Linked DNA regions of Neodiprion lecontei. The main gene of each other region encodes a partner of the protein of the gene in region 2 in a complex. Links are inferred from orthologs where the notes say so. Each region holds a gene or a part of one and is shown on either strand. Other genes may lie near its edges.

Region 1 (4,842 bases), on a different chromosome or scaffold from region 2:
ATACACACACCGAGAACTATAAAACACTAAAAGATTACAGGAGTGGGGGGGGGGGGGGGATGGAACAAAAATACGTCAGGGGTTAAATCCCACGAAACACCAACTCTGAGAAACTGAAGCGATCAACTGACCACACTTAACTGCTTCATCCAGCTACGTGACTGGCTTGACTTATCCGGAGATCCGAGATCCGAGCCACGGTTGTCGAACGAATATCTGCGCAGGCGTGGTTCGTGAACGCACCTTGGGAAAACCGGGAATGCGAGAAATACTCGTTGAATCAAACTGCAAGGAGGAAGCCGGATATTGCAACGAATGCAGAAACAGCGCGTTGTCGTTTCACGATTCATCAATTGTACCGGATAATTCGTTTTCAATCATTTTTCATCCTACTCTTCTGTTATAAAAGGATATTTTTGTTAAATTACATGTAATCCGTGTTATATCCACGGCAATTTCGTAGAGGAAAAATTAATCAAAATTGATCGATTATCGTATAATAAAGTATTCTATCACGTGTACTTCGAAATAAAATATATCTGTAGCAGAAGAAATACGCCTTTGCATAGGCAGCAATTTCATAATGGTAGGTCAGTTGCCTATGAACAGGCGGCAAAGATGACAATTTCGTTTTTTACTACCGATATTGGATAACTGTATTGAATTATTTCTATGCACTTCTTTTTTAAATTAAGATAATACTGGATCGGAGTATACGGTATAAATTATCAACAAAATTGGTGTAAAAAATGAAGGAAATTTTTTTATCCCCGCTTAGTCAAAAATAGGCCAAAGTGCAATGCGCGCTATTCCAGACGTATAATGTATATTTACAGGGGGGATAGTGCAAGCTTTATTTATATCAATGGAATTATATGACTTGTACAAGTACGGTGTATATAAATATAGATTATCTTCGGGAAATTATCGTATTGATAGTATGAATAGCGTAATTCTTAAGAATGCAACTATTTCACATCTCCGGTGAAAATTGACAGAGAAGAAAAATGAAAAAAAAAGCCAAATAACAAGACATCTAATGCGTACCACTCTAAAAATACAAAAATTCGTCGATATTTCACCGAAAGTTATTCCTCGATTATTTATCATCTATTTCTTAGCAAATGATATTTTCATTGCATGCGACGGCGTTATTTTGAACCCTTGAAGTGCATCCTTTGCCGCACCAGATTGCACCTCGTTTTCAAACTCAACAAAGGCAATGTCGTGTCTGTTTGGTACTAATCTGACCTCCTTGAAGCCTGGGAATTGATTGAACAACATGGACAACATCATTTCGCTGGTTTCGTCAGGCAGATTGGTCAGGAACAGAATCTGGTTTGGCGGTTGCTCGGGCACTGCAGTGTTCGCCATTCCTGTGTGCTGAGGAACTCCGGAATGATAGCCGACTTGCTGAGAGTGTTTAGCCTGCTCCTTGGCACGCTTTTTCGCACGTTTCGCTTCCTCCTCTGCAGCAGGTACAACCCGCTTAGGTTTCTTTGGTCGTTCAGCAAACGTGCCCTTTCTCTTAGCTATTAGATCACTGTCCGTTTTCGCATACTGTATTCTCTATTAAGAAAAAGAAAACAGGAGAGAGGAAATTAGATAGAATATTAGTTTGCTGATAAAAATTGAGTGCTAAGTTGAGCAATGATGATATTTCTAACATAAAACTGACGTTTGAGGATTCAAATCAGATCTGACTAGTTGTTCTCACCATTGGTTTATCGTAAAACGGGAAACCTTGCATGGATCGAAGGGCGTTAGTAGCGCTGGCGATCTCTTTGAATATGACGAATGCCTGGCCACGCATTTTCAGCGTTTTCAATGCAACGATATCAAGAATTTGACCAAACTGCGAGAAAATTGCATAGAGCGACTTTTGCAGCTCATCTTTGTTTATCTTCTCATTCAAATTGTTTATATAGATCGTGTTGTTTGGCCTTATATCCATTTTGCCTGTAATCAGAATCGGAGTTAGAACAAGTCTTATCGTCGGCACAGCGATGACTTGTGTTTGTTTTGGTCAGCAAGATGAAATCACTCGACTAACCTCTGAGCCGATGTCAAAAAAAAGGGAAAAGCAGAACCGTAATTTATATAATGTTCAATGTGGAAAAAAATCCGAATGCAAAATCATTGATGATCCTATTCATTACATTAAAAATGCCACGAATACGTGAACGCAGAAATGCTTTCGTATCTTTTTTGCATCCGGCGATTTCGGAATCTGCTGATTATCGCGATTAACATGGTATTACTGGTGATAAAAATTCGAAGACAGAGATATCGCATTATTTTGAACGCATTTGAAAGATAAAAAGCGTTGAACTTACCTAATTTTCACTACTTTATGATACAACCTAACACCTCAACTGCACACGCTTGTTAAGCGTCGATATTTTGAGAGGTTATGTTTGCTGCAATCAAGCTCCTTGCAGTTTGCTGCCTGCGCGGCTGGCTTAGATTATAATTCCTAAATATAGCGACAGATGGCGCCGCGGGTCCGGACGCGTCGGCATTTGAATTTGAAATTTCGAACTACGGACACAACGGTCGTTATGGATTTGCTAAATATTTGAATAATTTATCGCGATTTGAAAGTTCCATATAATTTCACAAGATACATTATAAATATATATGTACTTAAAGAGACTAGGAAAGGAAAGATTTCGTGTTTTTTAATTTTTGTTACTACAATCTCTGCCAAACATTTTGGCGAAAGAAGAACTGAAAAATTCGGAAAATTAAGCTTAGGAGGACTAGGAAGGTTTTGGCGACTGTCGATGTGACGAAAATTCAATTCGCTTTCATCAACTACAGAAAAAACATACGCAATTTTTGTTATTTCTAAGTTGTTTTTCACATTTTTGTCGATGCAAATCAGTGGTAAACGTAAAAAAAATAATTTTTAATAATAAGGCAAGGTATTGAACTATTATAGAATCTTGGTGATCGGTCAATTAAGTAAACGTATTTTTAGTTAACGTTTCGACCCGGATATGGGCCCTCCTCAGAACGATTTATTTATTTAACTGTCAAGAACAACAAAAAAAATTTTTTTATATACATAATAATACTAGAAGTACAATCAGACATTAAATATTGTAGATGTAATACTCTTAGGGCTATTATATATTATTGGTTAGTAAGAACAATTTGATTAATTGAAAAAAGAATGGCTTAAAGTGTTATTTACCTTTTTTTTATAAGTAAGTGGACTAGGATGTAGTCGAATTCAATTTTTTCAATTTTTTGTATCCAGTTAAGGTTAAACAATATTTGTTGTGTGGGCGGAGATTAGAGGTTTGTAAATATTACTTAAATGTCCAACATCTTGTCTTGTAATCTCCGCCCACACAACAAATATTGTTTAACCTTAACTAGATACAAAAAATTTTTGTCCCCATAACACAGTTTTTCTACATAATTTTTTCACAAAATATTTTTTGTTTTTCTGTATAATTGTTTATATTAGGTTCACCTTTACTCTGGATCATATTTGTTTCTCCCATCAGTCGTTATTCACCTGTTGACCCAATCGGTTCAACCAACAATAATTTTTGTTAGACATGTGGAACATAGTCATAAAGAGCTTACCTCCACTTCTTGGACATTTTGCAAATTAATTTTACGGCTAAAAAGACCTTCTTTAAAAACCTTTTAACACAATGACATATTGACTGTGAAGAAACATAGTTCTTTAATCTTTTTAATTAATGACTGCCAACTATTAACTCCTACATGTAAAATAACTAGAAGATTGACATTGACTACCGTCACTCAAAGAACATTGTCTCCACTAATTGTAAATTGTGAATTCGACTACATCCTAGTCCACTTACTTATTAAAAAAAAGGTAAATAACACTTTAAGCCATTCTTTTTTCAATTAATCAAATTGTTCTTACTAACCAATAATATATAATAGCCCTAAGAGTATTACATCTACAATATTTAATGTCTGATTGTACTTCTAGTATTATTATGTATATAAAAAAATTTTTTTTGTTGTTCTTGACAGTTAAATAAATAAATCGTTCTGAGGAGGGCCCATATCCGGGTCGAAACGTTAACTAAAAATACGTTTACTTAATTGACCGATCACCGAGATTCTATAATAGATTATATACGAGGTCGAGAATTCTTATTCATCAAGGTATTGAACGTTGAAGATAACCGTGCGTTCGAGTGTGGTACATATTTACACGCGTTTCATAGTTCGTACTATAGTATTTCCGATTCCTTCTAAATCTAGGCCTAGGAAGGTGGAAATAAATAATCACAAGTCCTGATTGTAGAATTGGAGACAGATCAGAGATAGATCCAAACAGGAAAAAGTTGACGCCGCAGGTGCGGGCGGTGTGACCGGCGAAAATGGGGAAGGAATTCCGGGAGGAAAATCTGAAAAAATTTCAGATGTATTTGATTCGGATATTATATAGTAAGCATAAAGATAAATATGTTTTTATGGGTTTGCGCTGAAAATAATTCACCGCAGGCTCTGTGGTTTGGCTATGTGATTTCTACTCTTAACGGATGTGAAAAGCAATGATACATCACATTACGCTGATATTGAAAATGAGTTAGTTTATTATTCAACTTGCCTTTTTTCCATCGAAAAGAAGAAAATCATCAGCTGCATAAATCGAGTCAAATCGAAGACGACGTTGCATTGCCACGAATAGAATATAAATATTTTCACTTCGTTTTCCTATCAAATTGGATAAAAGAAAACTTGAAACTGACCCTCTATCGATATCAATCAATACAACATTTTTATAATATGTTGGTTTAATTTTTGCTGCTGGTGGAAAAAAAATTATCACATGTCTTGAATACA
Region 2 (4,946 bases):
GGGTCTTACGTTTGTGTATGACTTGTAATTTACCTTCAGGCGGTCTAAGTCGCTAATCCGAGTTTCGACGCTTCGAACGGACCCTAGAGTGAGGAAAATCAAAACAAAAATTGTTTACAACGGTTCGAAGCTGATTTTGTATGCTCCAGTTTAGCTTAAGCTGCGTTACAGACGCGAACGGTTCGTCTAAACTTGAGTGATAATGTGGGATTCAGAAGATCTTTGAGCTACTGATTTACGCATGAATTTTCATCAATGCAAACCGTGAGATTATATCAACTATTAATATTAGTTTATGGTTAGTTTTGATGAAATTCTGCAAGCAAATTAAGTTGTTGGGAAACTTTGGATGGTAATAAGTATTAAAAGACACAATTTATAATGTGAAAAACAATGTGTTTTATTCGAACCACGCTGAAATAAACAGAGATTTACATTAGAATCAGCGGAGAAACATTACAGAGAAAATTTCGTTCAGGTAAAATCGCTTCCGAACCTTGTTTCATTGCAATCAAAGAGTAATTTATTTTTAGAATTTTCAATGAACCGTTATTTCGGTTTACCATCGCTTTCTATCCATACATTCCAATGGATAATGCTGTATTTTGTGTAGTGTACAGCTTCTTATTAGCTTAATATGCAGAACCTTTTTTTTTTACATATTTCATTTTACAAACGTTGATCAGGAGGCAATGCATACTTACGGGATTACGCTGTAACCTTATAAAAAAAAGAACTTAATTCGTAATGCGGTAAACAGATTATTAAACATTTATCCCTCAATTTAGTTCACTCATCGTCCTCCTCCTCCATTGGCGTTGGCTGCTGTGGGGTGCCTGAAAAATAGGAGATATTAGTAGCCCGCGAGCATAAACAAGCGCTATATTCGTCTGCAAAAAATTGATTTTGAAATAAGTATCGAGTTCGATGTTTTATTTGGAAAAAAATTCATTCGCAACTCAATTTGCTAGAATAGTCTTACTATGTTCAAATCAAGCTCCGAGGCCAGGCGTACAAACAATTTTAGTAAAGTTTTCCATACCATTCTGTGAAGATTCCTCGCCAGGTAATTGACCAGCTTGTAGTAACTTGCTCAATCGTTGAACTTCTTCCAGTGACGAAGCTTTTGTGATGGCCTCTCTGATCTTTGTGCGTTCTTCAGCATTGGTGGGTGGTTTGCTTAGGGTGCCATTGTTAGCAACAAGGGTCTTGGCCTTTTTGGCTATTTCTCTGGCCATGTCCTTGCCCTTCTTGCTTCTAAAATAGAGGATGGCTGCTTCCTTTTCCTTTGGCTTTATCTTCCTGAAGTCGAGAAGACGGAGCTGTGGCAATCTATAGACGACGTACTGTCTGTACTGAGGCTTGGCAGAAACCGGGTTCTGCAGGAGACACAAGTTCCGAAGATTCTTCAGCGGAATGAGTGGGTCCAAGTCGCCCAGTTCCTGTATCATGTTACCGGTAAGCATAAGCACCTCCAGCGATGGAATACAGAGCTCTAAGCCTTCGGCTATTCTGACTATTCTGTTGTTGTTGAAGAACAAGGTCTTCAGTCTCTTCAACAACGGGAATCCATCCAGCTTTCGGATGTCATTGTCAGAGAAATCTATTGTATCAAATTGGTCCTGGAACAAATATAGGCTGTTAACAATGCATCAATAGCACTCTTTTGTTTCACCAACTCTGAACTCGAAGCCCAAAGGCTTGAATCAAACTGTTCGACTTCAGGCAACCATAATACATAATGCCAATGTTAGAAGTACAGAAACAAATGCTCTTCATCCCCCAACAATTGCTTTATACATGCATGCAAAAACGGACTTTCTTCCATCATAATTCAACTCTCATATATTGGGAATCAATTCTGACCTCAAGTTAATCTCTTTTTCTGTTCTTGTTTATTTCTTGAACGTTGATACTCACCAAGGTGGCCCCCAGGTTTTCTATCGTTGGTATCTTATATCCTGTAATAAAAAAAGTAAATTTTCAGCAACAACCGGTGCAAAAATTGAATTTTTCAGGTTAAGTTACGCCAAAGCAGCGCAACGTCGTTTGAAAAACCGTTAACATTCTCACCTCTCAAGTCCAATTCTCGATCTCGTACAGGATTTATGTACTGCATCGATTGCTGGATCAATTCCGGTGTTAACTTCACCATTTTTCTAGACAATAAATTTCTCAGCAACTGTAAAGAAACGTGTCCCAAATCCTTTCCGTTTATTACGCTAATTTTGACCGTTCCGACTACGGTTTTGACGCAGCTATGGTGAATCAATCACGAACTCAGAAGACTAGAGACAGCCGAGTCGACGGAGCGTTTATGATCAGCAGTAATTGCGTCGGTAGCACGGTCTTACATACAGGTCCGGAAACTAGTAGGGTGGGGAATGACTCAGATAATGAGGCAAAACCGTGGTTCTCGTCTTCACCGTCTGCAGCGCTGTCCCCTCGGGGTGAGTTAATCATAAATCAGATCCGAACAGCTGGTTTTTCAGAATCAACAATCCTGAATAACACTCAAAAATGAAGAAAGATGCGAATAAAAAATGATTGAAATGCTTACTAGCATTCCATAGCGGGCATGATAATTGTTTCATTTCAACGGAATCCTCAAATGTTTAAGTCAATAAAATCCATAAACATCAAGCGAGGGCTCACAACTTTTGAGACAGTTTGAGATCTTGTGTAGATGATCCATCGCTTACACACTTTACACTGAGTTATGAACTGGCAAAAACTTCGATGAGCAGGTTATCTTATCGGTATATATCTATATCTAGCATACCCCGGGCCAATGGCGCCCCTAGCGGATGGATAGGAAACAAGACCGTGTGCCTCTCTAACGGTGACACCCCCTACCACTCAAAACTGCCGGAGTTACCAGACCTGTATGTAAGACCGTGGTCGGTAGTAATGAAGGTCTTCTGTCATTACCAACCGAGTCATCTGATCAAGTCGGTAACTGCAGAGACTGCGCTCAGTAAGCACATTCATTATCTCAATTATTCATATGATTTTCATAAGGTCTTTTTCTGCTCATTAATCTCGTAAATTCTGTACCGATTCATCAACTTCGTACCGTTACCTTTAATCTGTCGGCTCTATGGTACATTTTTGTATAATCCTACTTCAATTTCAAAGATATTCAAAAAAGTAAAAAATCTTTTTTACCTAGCGAAAATTGAAAATTTGAATGATTTAGGATTTTGTAAATACTGATGGTAAGCTAATGTTGATCATAATATATCGGAAGAAATCACAGATGTCGACGATTTGAATTACAAAATTAGTTACTGTATATACATTTATACGAATTGAACTGATTTTTGTATTCAACAAACATTACATACACTAAGCTGCGGCAAATTCCGAAGATATTTCCCAAAAAATGTAAACTTGAACGATTTTCCTCGTCATTCAGCTCGTTGAACATTTGTTAGTTCTCTACCTTTGGAACGTTTGGATTAACAAATATCGTACGCGAAATTTGTTTTCAAAAGTTTTGCCATTTCAATTGAACACCGAACGTAGTTTTAGTGCGGTTATAATTTTCAGTGAAGTATTATTGCTAAAAAGGACACATATTTGCTCATGGTCTGCAGCCCTGAATATCTACCGTTCTATGATTTTAGCTTATTTAAATTCCTTCTCTTGTCAATTACCCAGAATACCATTTAAGTAAATGTAAATAGTTGAAAGAGCATTCCCTGACGTATTGGATACCAACGTCTCCAGAATATTTGTTATTGGTGTCATTAACTACGTCAATCGAACGTCATCCGTTTTTTTTTTTTTACCTGTTCCTAACAAGTAACTTGATCTGATATAAGCAATCAATGAGCGGTTTTTTCTTCTCAGTCTTCCTTGTCTTGAAATTAGAAATAAAAAACACTCTGAACAGTTTGAACTACACACAAAACTATGTAGGTTTTTGTATTAAATTCACTCTAAGAATATTAACCTTCTCGTTAATTTAACAGACGAATTAACTGGAACAAATGATTTACCTACTTTTTAGATGCGATGGACTAAATGAATGCCCCTTCTTCGTTAATCGAATAACATATCGAAGAGTAGGGAACATAGTCGCGATTTTTATTTAAATTTGCGAATTTCTCACCCATATCTAACTTTAATGCCAGTAGATGAATAGGAACCAGATTTTGATGCATACTATGTTGAACGATTATTTTCATACGCATGAATGTTCCAAAAAAAGAGAAATCACCTTTCTACCTGTCTTACTAAATGAAAGATCCAACCGCGTTGAGTGCAAATAATTTCGACTTTATTATCAAGGTCAATTTGCTATAGATCTTCTCAACCTTGAACTTGCATGTCCATGCAATTGGCTTTCTCAATTTTTGCACATCTGCAGGAGGTTCAAACAAAAACCGTTGGTAAAATTATTGTGAAAATAAAGCAGGTCAAAAAATTACAAAACTCGCCTATATCAACGCCGCAAGGTAAGTTCGAGCGTCGGAAAATTTTATTTTATTTTCGAAACTGGGTCATAGAAAATTGTAACGGAGATTGAGAAGCGATGACTCAAGTAAATCAAGTTATAATTAACCAAAAAGTTGTATCGTTAATCATCAACAATCATCCATTATTGTCTCCAATTTCGATGGATTATGTCGGAAATTTTGTCGAAATAACACTATCGACTAACACTGACACAGATCGACCCGGATGATTTCACTTGTCCCATACAAACTCATCACAGATTGTAATCAACGAATTTATGCCTCGCAGAGTTTATTACATCGATTTACGATTGATTTTAATTTACCGTTTTTATCCATTGCTTCATTTTCGGACTACATGTAAGAAGAGATTCTTTGAAAATTCAACGTATTAACTTGAGTTTTATTTTTGTAAGCCTGCTTTTATGATTTTTGTTTATTACCAACTTCTTCGCCAGACTTGCAATGCATGATTTGCATTGA

The links. Proteins that work in one complex are often made in the same cells at the same time.
Region 1: the proteins of probable U2 small nuclear ribonucleoprotein A' (region 2) and U1 small nuclear ribonucleoprotein A are in contact, whole or in part, in a crystal structure (PDB 6F4J), measured with the Drosophila melanogaster proteins. The link is inferred for Neodiprion lecontei from reciprocal best matches to the Drosophila melanogaster genes U2A and snf. Residues at the interface, in NP_610315.1 of Drosophila melanogaster: Tyr15, Asn17, Pro18, Arg20, Glu23, Asp25, Arg27, Ser50, Leu70, Asn72, Asn73, Ser92, Ile94, Thr96, Leu121, Ile122, Leu144, Asp146, Phe147, Arg148, Lys149, Lys151; in NP_511045.1 of Drosophila melanogaster: Ile18, Glu22, Lys24, Lys25, Ser26, Tyr28, Ala29, Ile30, Ser32, Gln33, Phe34, Gly35, Gln36, Ile37, Leu38, Asp39, Ile40, Phe72, Pro73, Phe74, Tyr75, Asp76.

Annotation. Positions count from the first base shown.
Region 1 is NC_060262.1:2,057,753-2,062,594, forward strand, and holds U1 small nuclear ribonucleoprotein A, read right to left. Parts: upstream 2,450-4,842; 5' UTR 2,337-2,449; intron 1,960-2,336; 5' UTR 1,955-1,959; coding exon 1,718-1,954; intron 1,570-1,717; coding exon 1,111-1,569; 3' UTR 744-1,110; downstream 1-743. UniProt on the Drosophila melanogaster protein: Binds stem loop II of U1 snRNA. It is the first snRNP to interact with pre-mRNA. This interaction is required for the subsequent binding of U2 snRNP and the U4/U6/U5 tri-snRNP. Plays a role in regulating sex-lethal splicing.
Region 2 is NC_060263.1:37,391,023-37,395,968, reverse strand, and holds probable U2 small nuclear ribonucleoprotein A', read right to left. Parts: upstream 2,316-4,946; 5' UTR 2,156-2,315; coding exon 2,074-2,155; intron 1,962-2,073; coding exon 1,921-1,961; intron 1,623-1,920; coding exon 1,043-1,622; intron 837-1,042; coding exon 790-836; 3' UTR 501-789; downstream 1-500. UniProt on the Drosophila melanogaster protein: Involved in pre-mRNA splicing as component of the spliceosome. Associated with sn-RNP U2, where it contributes to the binding of stem loop IV of U2 snRNA.